Linked DNA regions of Xenopus tropicalis. The protein of the gene in region 2 purifies or fractionates together with the protein of the main gene of each other region. This does not show direct contact. Links are inferred from orthologs where the notes say so. Each region holds a gene or a part of one and is shown on either strand. Other genes may lie near its edges.

Region 1 (3,655 bases), on a different chromosome or scaffold from region 2:
ACAATGATGAGTCTAAGATAGGAAAAATCACTAGCTAAAAGTAATGTGAATATCTGACACTAGATGTTATTTAACTACAGATCTCAAAATCCCATTGACAGCCAAAGACTGTTTAACCACATCTGATGGGCTACAGGTTGCCCACCCCTAACGATGACTGCTTATCTGTTATTTGTTCATACAGCCTTTACCTGAAGTGCTATGGATATTCTCAGAGGCACTAAAGGGCCAGGCACCAGGTGAAGGCAGCGAGGTGTTGAGGGAAGAATTGGACCCTAAAAGACAGCATCAGATTGTCACTTAGTACTCTAAAATGTACATATATAATGCAGTAAGGAAAATATCAAATAAATAATAACATAATAAAATTTACCTGTGGGGGTGTCCTGCAGTAGCTGGTGGTCAGTATCTACAATGGGAGATGGGGCTGGACCCCCAAGCACACTGCCAGGGGTAACATAAGGATCAGATTCTGGATCAATATTTTGGATCCCTTTCCATGGCACTCCTGGCTGAAACTCTACAATAAGATTAGAGACACATTGTTAAAACAAACAGTGTGACGCTGAAGCCAAGACAAACAGCTTTGGCTCAAATCACCAGAAACTTAAAAGAACCACTGAAGGCCAAAGTTAAAATTTTACTTAAGAGTGAGTGAATATAGTTGCTAATCGCCCATTAGCAACAATACATAACTTTTAGGGAATGCAAGTCAGGACTCTTATCCCTACTAAACGCAAGGACCCAGAGAATTTCCTCAAACACAGTACACAGTATTTGCTCTACACAAGTGTTCAAAGGCAGCAAGGCTACATAGAAACAAACTAGAGTAAGGAAAATTCTCAGTTAAACTGTAAGCTCGGGTAACTAGTAGAGCTCTTTAGCCTTACCTGAATGAAATATATGGAATGTAGCAGACATAAAATTAAAAAAAAACATATAAATCAAGAAACATAACATAAATGTGCATGTGGTAAGTTTCTGGCAATTCATGACTGACCTGGGGGCCAGCTGGCATTGATTGACTTGTTTCCAATTTTGCTTGAAGGGGGTGATTTGGCAGGTAACCAGCTCTCAGCTGTTGGCCCCCCATGCCCTCCCAAAGCATCCGTAGACAACATGTCATATTGGTGGTAGGGGGAACCTCCACGATTTTTTACTGGGGGTGCAATGGAGCCTGGTAACAAGAAAGACAAAAAAAATGTAGTGAGGTGATCTGTGCGGTGCCCATATTCTTCACTATTATTCACACAAAATAAAACTGTCCTAACCACAAATATTTATTAGAAGATAAGGGACAAATTGTGCAGTTTTTTAGCCACTCACCATTTTTATGCAGGCTGGTATCTTGAGAAACAGTGGACGGTAGCCCCTCCATCATGGATGTCCACTGTTTAAATCGAGACTCTGCTCCCGCCTCCTTACCTACTGTACCATAATCCATCCCACTTGAGCCAAAACCTGAAAACCAAAAGAAACACATTGTATTTATCATATTCTACTGCATCTACAAAATATTTTGTATGGAAATGTATGCTTGCCAGGGTCAGTGAAAGCTACTATGCAGCCTACAGCATACAGTATTTACACCTACAAAAGCACAATCGAAGACTATTTCTGACCACTAGATTGTTGAAGGTTTCTGGAAAATAAGTTAAGCAATTTAGCAACTCCACCTATGAATGGTAACAGAGAAAAATATTGTCCCTAAATCCTGATTAGTAAAGTACAAATGCAACTATTAACTAAAAAGTATTCAGGATTTTAACCCTAGTCAAGGGGCTGCTGTATTCTGTGCCTTTCTGTAGCCAAAACCCTCACCTTTGTTGGCAACCATGTGTTTTCTTGGTGAGCACTAAGGAAGACACATGGAGCTACTAGTAGCAGCTACTTGATGTGGCTACTTAAATAGACATTTACTGATAACAATCTCTACATGTGTTTTAGCAGAGGCAATTCTCAGTATTGTCTATGGCAGGATATTTTCTGGCAATTAGTAGCCGTGAAAAAATAGCTGCTACTAGTAGCTATGTGTGTTTTCACCCTGAACACCTACAGTTGCAAGGCACCTTCATAACAAAAGAATTACCCTAGAGATATGTAAGGAGATTTGAAAGGGTAGCTTCACTACTGCTGTAAAGAGGCTTTAAAATAAAGGAAGCAGACTCCACAGTCACAAGAGAAGGTGGGGCTGGACCATGGGGTCTGCGTCCTCTATTACTACATATAAATCTCTGTTGCTCTTGGGCAGAAGAGTGAGAATTTATTTGTAAACATTCTGGGGAGAGAGGGCTGGAAAGGGTTTGGTACTCTGTGTCAAGCATTCTATATATTTCAGAATTAAACAAACAAGTCACGATCAAGGGCTTACCAGATCCATATGGCATGTGCCCTTTGGCTTGCATGTCTGAGAGTCCAACAGCATCTAAGTGACCTTTGGGTCCAGCAGGGTGAGAGGGAGAGTGCTTCATTCCTGGCTGCCTCTGTTGCTGCTGCTGCTGTTGCTGTTGCTGCTGTTGTAGGGCACTTACCATGCGTGCTATCTGCTGGGAAATAGAAGGCACAAAAGGTAAATCACCAAAATTGCTTAAAATGCCAAGCAGATCATCATGGTTGTTTGAATACGAGAAAAGAAAATTCAGGTATAAAATAGCTTTTAGAGACCTAGATTGTACATTTCAATCTACCTTAAAAGCAGAGTGGCAAAAAAGGGGCTATACAAACAAATGTAAAAAATATTTAAAGGAGAAGGAAAGGCAAAGTCACTTGGGGGTGCCAAAATGTTAGGCTTTAATCGCTTACCTTCTACCCCGGGCTGGTGCCCCTGTACAAAGAGAACAGCACCAGCCCGGGGAAGCAGCGAGCGCTTCCTCCTTCCTGATCGATCGCGTGTGCATGCGCAGTAGACGGAAAAGCCGAACTTTAAAAGAGAAGTTGTCTTTTCTACTGCGCATGCGTTTGTCCGGGACAATTGGCTAGCGAGCGAATAGGAAGGAGGAAGAGCTCTCTACAGGTACCCCGGGCTGGTGCTGTTTTCTCCTAACAGGGGCACCAGCCCGGGGTACAAAGTAAATGATTTAAGTCACTTGAGGGTGCCTAACATTTTGGCACCCCCAAGTGGACTTAGCCTTTCCTTGTCCTTTAAATATACAAAAGGAATTAACCAGCTCAGAAGATAACGACGCAGGATATGAACAGAACCAAGAGACAGATATTGAGAGGGGCAATGCTGAAAGGTAATATAAGGGACAAAAAAAGTAATAAATACATGTAAAAGCCTTTTGCCACATGTGTTGGGGACTAACTTAGTAAAATAACAGACATGTGGCATAAAAATAATGAAACCTATTAAGCTTAAAAGAAAACCAAAATCAATAAAAAGACAAGATAGACCAGCCGTTTCTGTATTATGGGGAATGGCAGTTGTGAATGTAGTGCCGCCTCTTACCTGCTGTTCCTGCTGCTGTCTGACCGCTTGTGAGATCTTCCTCTGGTTCTGAAGGAGTTGCTGCTGCTGCTGCTGCTGTTGCTGCTGTTGTTGTTGTTGCAAGAGGAGCTGACATGCCTACAAGCATTAAACAGAAGATTACAATGGCACAATCTTAAATAAGCAATAAGTAATAATAATATCTTATGCAACAATTGTTAACAGAAC
Region 2 (3,655 bases):
GATTCCTTGGCTGTGTGTTTGGGATCATTGTCTTGCTAAAATGTCCACCCTTGTTTCATCTTCGGCATCCTGGTAGATGGCAGCAGATTCTTCAAGAATGTCTCTGTACATTTCTCCATTCATCTTCCTTCAATTATATGAAGTCTGCCAGTACCATATGCTAAGAAAACAACCCCATACCATGATGTTGCTACCTCCAACTTCACTGTTGGTATGGTTTTCTCCGCCAAACATGGTGTCTGCAATGACATCCAAAGGGTTCAATTTTGGTCTCATCTGACCAGACTATATATTTTCCCAGAATTTCATTGGCTTGTCCAAATGTTGTGCAGCAAACCTTAAACGAGCTTCAACATGCTTTTTCTTCAGCAATAGATTCTTACACGGTGAGCACTCATAACTGGTTGAGTGCATTACTTATTGTTTTCTTTGAAACAACTGTACCTGCTAATTCAAGGTCTTCCTGAAGTGCTCCTTGAGTGATCCTTGCCTCTTAGACAACTCTTCTGATTATTTTTTTTGACTCCTGTCAGAAATACTGAGCGGAGCACCTGGTCGTGGATGATTTGGAATGAATTGCTGTTCTTTCCACTTCTGGATTATGGCTCCAATGGTGCTCACTGGAACAATCAGAAGCTTAGAAATACACCTGTAACCAATGCCATCAGTATGTTTTTCAACAATAAGGTTGCAAAAGTCTCGAGAGAGCTCTTTGCTTTTACCTATCATGGCATGCTCCTTGAGTGATAACTTGGTAATGAGATATTTTTACAGGCCATCAATTAGGACTAAACCAGCTGATATAAATTTGCACTGATAGGGGGCAGGATTGCTTTCTAAATACTGACAGATTTAAGCAGGTTTCTTGGACCTCCTTCATGTGTTCAATACTTATTCCCTGGGTCATTCAACTTTATTATTACACATAACTTAATCTAAAGACTTGTTTATTTGTATGTGTGGATTACTTGGGTTGTTAAAGACATATGGTGTAAATTTATGTCAATAGCCCCATTAGAAATAGATTTACTGAGAAAAATGTTGACATGTTCAATACTTATTTTCCCTGCTGTACATAAGTACATATTCAATTCCAATTGAAACTAGAGTCTTACCTGTCGTGATCCTTATCCACAAGATGATACCTTGCTCTAAATGCAACGAGTCGAGCATAGTAGGCAGGGGCAGGGATCGAAACAGATCGTGTGCAACGCACATATGTGTGACACAGCTGGTAGGTAAGCAGTTGGAGTTCATCAGCAGTGAAGCAGTTATCATCCCAGAGAACCTGGTAATGAGATGGACGACTTGTTCCCTAGAGGTAGAGAGTATTAAGTACACAAGATTAATCAATTTTAAGCAGCTGTACCATTTCAAAGTTATGACCAATCTGTTCAGATACCCAGACAACATTTTTGTGTTATACACCAGAGCCACTATAAAGCCCATTTTACTATAGGGAAAATGCCACACAGTGATGTTCATACAAATGTGCATATTCAGGCCAAAAACCATCCTGTACAAGAGGTGTCACATGGCTTCCATTAAAGTCAATGAGGGGTGGCAGGTATGGCTTTGGGTGCTTCTTCCCCGGAGGAGAAACTTTTAATTAGCCTTTAATTTTAAGCTCCGGTACACGTGTTTCTATTGTTTGTTCAAGTTTAAAATCAGTAAGAGTTGTGAAATACAACAAAGTTATATCTCATAAAACTGGAACTTTATATCATCCAATATTTTTGTACCACAATTACTCAACACAAGAGACAGATTAAGCTCATGGCACACACACAGCGCTTTGGGTCCCTGCTTTCAGAAAGAATAGGGGTAGTCAGAATTCATTTCCCAACCTGCAGAATGGGAAAATGTGCTGCATATGGTTTATGGCATTTCATGCTGATGTTAAATGGGAAATTTGTGACAAAGAATATTTGGGACATTTTTACCTCTATGGCTCTATAAAAAGAACTTTAGCCAAGACAGATAGTATGGTAGCTAAACAACATGCATTTGCAGTACCTGAATCCCAGCATGACTACAGAGATAGAAATCAAACTCTGATGGATGTGTTATTGTGCTGTCAACAGTAGTTCCTGCTGGCACATTGCCACTCTTTCCAACCTATGAGAAATATATAGTTTGCATTAGAAAAGAAAATACAAAAATCCTGCAGATGTTTAACCACCAGCATGCAGCAAGTGTTTTTGGAAGAGAATAAGAACAGAAACAGTATTTTTGGGAAAAAAAAACAAAAACAAAATTTCAGAAATACATTATTTAGCATTAAGAGTGACGTACCCTTTCTGTTTTGTCAGCGCAAAAAAGCCTTGTATGATGCCTTTTTTGTACAACAATGTATGTTATTCCAGGCCTGTAATCTTCTTCCAAGCTGATGCAGGCCTTTCGAATAGCCATAAGCTCAGGCCATGCCACCTGAATAGGATAGGTAAAAGTAGAAGTTTTTCATTTATGAGAAGCATTTTTGATTGGAATGTTACATCTAGGACTTGATGTCGCCCTGCTTTGCAGAGAATCTGTGTATTGCACTGTGGAAAGCAGAGGGAGAACCACAATCCAAGGAGAAGCTGCACTACACCATGAGCATAAAAATGGAAATAACTTTTTAATTCCTTTTTAATATGACAAGTCCAGTACATATGTAAAAAAAATAAGATAGTGTGCATGCACTGTTTCTACATAAGACCAACCAAATAAGCTAATGTCGAAATTTTCCCTTAAAAGTCAAAGGCAGGACTGTGTCGCATTCACCAATATACCCGTTTATATAAAATATAAATAGCATGAGTGTAAGCTGCAAACATCTGTACTCACTCACCTGTTTCATTTGACCTTCAGAAACACCTCCTCTATAATAGATAATTCTAGTGGGTTTGAACCGAGTTGACTTGTAGAACTGAATAAGCAGTTCCCGAACCATGTTGCTAAGGTCTTGAATAACTTCCTGGCTGTACAGCAGCTCTTGGGTTGTCTCTTGGCGCGAGGTCTGAACACGCACAGTGGCACAGTAGCGGCTGGGATGCCCATCCATGCTGCCCACTACAGCTGCAATGGAAGGTTTCTTGCCATCCCCAGCAGGGGGGTGTGTTACATCTGCTCCCAGAAATATAACAGGCTGTTGAAACACTGAAGGTCTGCAGTAAAAATAATTTACATTTAACAAGTAAATATCAAATTTAAATAACGCAAGAAAATACACTTGTTAATGCTATGTAAACAAATTAAAAAAAGTTGGTAAAAAGTTCCAGTTGGCCAAATATTAGACCACATTAGTAAGACCGCTGCCCCAAAATAATTTCAGATGACGTTTAAAAGAAAAGGTATTACTTGTATAGGTATTGTGTTGGTTTTAAATGAATTCTTTCCTTCACACCTAAATGCCAATATTTATTAAAAAAAAATAATGAAGCATACAATAGATCACTGTACAGGAATAGGACCCGTTATCAGGAATGCTCGGGACCAACAGTGTTCCAGATAAGGGGTCTTTATAAAACATTAATTAAACCCAATAGGATTATTTAACTGGTTTGAAAACAAAGTTTATTTTTAAAAATTACCCCGAGCACTTCTGAAACAGAAGCCTCATATCATTGATCGACCTGTGGTCAGGAAGAGAGGAAAAGTTCCCTTTGCAAAG
Region 3 (3,655 bases), on a different chromosome or scaffold from region 2:
AATACTTCTCTGGATCAAAATTCCAGTAACCATGGTAAAATTTGAATGCATGCTAGTTTGTGTTTACCTTAAAGAGAGATTATCCTTATAAAGAAGTTTGTAACCCATGGAAATTCCATGGGTTCTCTAGTCCTGACTCATGAAACTGTGTAGCAGAAGTCAGTTCTATTGCAGGTTTGTTAATCAGTCATCCTTTGTCTCTAATTATGCAAACTCTGTAGCGGCATCCAGATGTTTTTCCAAAATCTGACACAGAGCAGATATTCCCTGCCTCGACCATTACAGTAATAATCTTGTGTGTTTGCAATTTCTTGCCCTAGGTGCTATTTCAAGTGGTTTCAGGCTTGAAGATTCTCCTTTTGGTTCTTATGACTTTATGAACAGCAGTAACTCTCCATCCAGCCCTCCAGGATCTATTGGGGATGGCTGGCCTAGTGCCAAATCGCCAAATGGCTCCAGCAGTGTCAACTGGCCCCCTGGTAAGCAAAACCCCTGATATTAACTTCATTTTTGTTTGAGTTCCGTGGTCTACAGCTGTAGCTCTTTACACTGTTCTGTGTAGAAAGACTTAAGGCAGTCTGAAATGTTGCATTTGTCTAGAGGCTCTTGCAGCGTTGTAATAGACTTTTTAGCATATATTGTGGTGGATGGTGCTCTGCTTCTGGACTTGTAAAATATGAAAACAAGTCATTAGGAAAACATTTTCAAATCGGCAAGTTCTGGCCATACACTGTAGGGTTGAATGTTATGGCAGCCTTATGCCCGAAAGGTATCTGCCCAGTTTTCAGCAGATTGGGCAGGCTGTCATAGGGCACCATGCTTGGATGGGTAAGCTTCTGGTTTGCTTTGATGGGCTGGGTTGGCAGCGTTTTTGGGCCCTTGTGTGGTCACCATTATCCTCAGGGATGTCCCTAAAGAAGTCCTGCCGTTTTTTTTTTAACAATATAGACCTACGTTTTTGGATTGTGCATATAACAACCTGTTTCAGTAGGATTTTTTTAAAGTTTTACCGTCTGATATTTTTAGAATTCCGTCCGGGTGAGCCATGGAAAGGATATCCAAACATTGACCCAGAAACTGACCCTTATGTCACTCCTGGCAGTGTCATCAACAATTTGTCAATTAATACTGTGCGGGGTGTTGACCACCTCAGGGACAGAAACAGTGGTATGTATCTCTGAATTCTGCAGCTGGGTTTTGTTTTTGCCAAAGCCCTCCCTTGCTCTCAGGGTCACTTCTATAAAAATTAATGCACACAATTAATATTGTGCTTTTTAGGGTCATCCTCATCTTTGAACACCACGCTGCCTTCAACTAGTGCCTGGTCCTCCATTCGTGCCTCCAACTACAGTGTCTCCCACAGCAGTACAGCACAAAGCACTTCAGGTAAGATGTCCGAGTACTTTCTATGCCGTTTGAATTGCTGCCTGTGTGCATGAAAACAATCCCAGAAACACCTGCTGCTATACCCCCAGAATGAACAGTTTATATTATGTTAAGTGGCCTATTAAAGAATCTTCCCAAACTGGAATAAATATCAGTAAATTTTGGCCTTTTACATCTTTTCCCCTGAGCCGCCATTTAGTGATGGGCTGAGTGCTCCCTCAGAGATCAGCTGACAGGAAATAATGCAGCTCTAACTTTAACAGGAAGTAATTTTGAAGCAAAAGGCAGAACTCTGTCCATTCATTGGCTGATGTGGCCTAGCATGTATGTGTGCCTTGGCTTGTTTATGTGCACTGTGAATCCTATGATCCCAGGGGGCGGCCCTTAGTACTTAAAATGGCAAGTTTCTATTTAGGATTACCCAATAGCACACACTACTAAAGTATATTTTTATGAAAATGATTTATTTAGCTGAAGCAGGGTTTTACATATGAGCTTGTTTATGCAGTGTATTTTTATAGACCTACACTGTTTGGGGGGTATAGTTTCCTTTAATGAAAACACTTCTGATTTATCTGGGAAACCTGCAGGGCCTTTGTTTTCCATATCAATCAGAGCACAGGCCCTGACAGGTTTAGTAACACATAGTATATCACATTCTTATTTCTCTTTACAGTAAGAAACAGTGACCCCAAACCTGCTTGGTCTCCTGGTTCCGTCGCTAACACTTCTCTGGCTCATGAACTGTGGAAAGTCCCTTTGCCATCTAAAAACATCAGTGCTCCGTCCAGGCCTCCCCCAGGGCTGACTGGTCAGAAGCCACCTTTATCCACCTGGGATACCAACTCCCTGCGTCTTGGTGGGTGGGGAAGTTCTGACTCAAGATACACACCAGGCAAGTGCCCCTCGCTTAGTACCTGCTGATACATGCATTGTTCAGTGAAATGCCCATCCTGGCTTCAATTCCTGATAGTGTGTTCCCCCTGCCACCTGTGTGCATTATGATCTTTTCTGACTGACTAGTCCTTCAGTGACAGATTTCTGTAGCCTTTGCTATCTTGTAGGAGAATAGCACTGTTACAATGTGATAAGAAAAGTGATGACCATGGCCTCTTTATAGAAACTAGGTAACAGGGAGATGTTAAATGTACAGACACAATTTTAAGCCGCATATTGATAATACATGTAAGCATCCATAGTGATTTCTTTCTGTGCTGCTTGCTCTGGTAATTCTTTTTCCTTTCTGCACCTGTTTCATTACTGATCTACCAGTGGTATAAGAAATACATTCATGCACCAGAACCTTGCTCCGGTTGGTTCTAACTCTATACTTGTGTCCTTGCTAGGTTCTACCTGGAGTGAAAACAGCTCAGGGAGAATAACAAATTGGCTCGTTCTGAAAAACCTAACACCTCAGGTCAGTGGGGTTTTGTACTATATAGGTTTCATGTACTCCTGGCAGGCTGTGTTCTAACTCAAGTTCTCTTGCAGATTGATGGCTCTACTCTGCGTACTTTGTGCATGCAGCATGGGCCTTTGATAACATTCCACCTGAACCTGCCCCATGGTACTGCTCTTGTCCGTTACAGTTCCAAGGAAGAGGTAGTGAAGGCACAAAAGTCTCTGCACATGTAAGTTTGTTGTGTAATACTGTACGAAATTCACTAGCACATTCTCATGGATTATATTGTAACAATAATTCACTTCTAACTCCATAGTTCAGATGTTGGCACTAATGTCTTTTTGCCAAACTGCAACTTCCCTTAGGGGAAAGGGTAAGCCAGGACCAATGGTGCAACCCTGCAACTGATCCAATAGTGGCTGATGTGTTAGGCTCACTTGGTTGGCTGGGTTCCCAATAAGAATAGCTTTGATTTGCCTATGCACATTCTACCTCATCTAGTTGATCTGATCTTTCAGATCTACAGATTGGTCACATTGGGATACATTTGCAGTACTGTCATTGGCCCACTGTATTTTCCACCTGGCTAATTCAAAACGGAGTCCAAAAGTGAATCTGCTGGACAAAAGTAATAATTTATGTCCCATACAAGGAAACTAAAAACTAGGTGCGAAGGGGTTAACACGTTACCAAGATGTCTGTGTGTTGGTTTAGCAACCAAAGTGAAACGGCCATCCACTCCAGTTCAATTGAGGGAAATACAAATTAGCAGTTTGTGTCATCAGTGAGCATTGGGAGCCCCATAGAGGCTTAGTACTTTAAAAATGCACTTTGTGATCCGCCCACTATCTCTCTTCAAATTACATA

Evidence for each region.
Region 1: the proteins of ago4 (region 2) and tnrc6b purify together in Homo sapiens (co-immunoprecipitation; 3 studies listed by BioGRID and IntAct, with this or other methods). This does not show direct contact. The link is inferred for Xenopus tropicalis from reciprocal best matches to the Homo sapiens genes AGO4 and TNRC6B.
Region 3: the proteins of ago4 (region 2) and tnrc6a purify together in Homo sapiens (co-immunoprecipitation; 4 studies listed by BioGRID and IntAct, with this or other methods). This does not show direct contact. The link is inferred for Xenopus tropicalis from reciprocal best matches to the Homo sapiens genes AGO4 and TNRC6A.

Annotation. Positions count from the first base shown.
Region 1 is NC_030680.2:121,719,892-121,723,546, reverse strand, and holds part of tnrc6b (trinucleotide repeat-containing gene 6B protein), read right to left. Parts: intron 3,566-3,655; coding exon 3,449-3,565; intron 2,547-3,448; coding exon 2,372-2,546; intron 1,462-2,371; coding exon 1,327-1,461; intron 1,178-1,326; coding exon 1,001-1,177; intron 521-1,000; coding exon 374-520; intron 276-373; coding exon 192-275; intron 1-191.
Region 2 is NC_030678.2:81,877,554-81,881,208, reverse strand, and holds part of ago4 (protein argonaute-4), read right to left. Parts: intron 3,150-3,655; coding exon 2,834-3,149; intron 2,431-2,833; coding exon 2,296-2,430; intron 2,119-2,295; coding exon 2,017-2,118; intron 1,316-2,016; coding exon 1,116-1,315; intron 1-1,115.
Region 3 is NC_030685.2:20,149,019-20,152,673, forward strand, and holds part of tnrc6a (trinucleotide repeat-containing gene 6A protein), read left to right. Parts: coding exon 1-34; intron 35-320; coding exon 321-479; intron 480-1,026; coding exon 1,027-1,167; intron 1,168-1,278; coding exon 1,279-1,386; intron 1,387-2,062; coding exon 2,063-2,281; intron 2,282-2,732; coding exon 2,733-2,803; intron 2,804-2,877; coding exon 2,878-3,017; intron 3,018-3,655.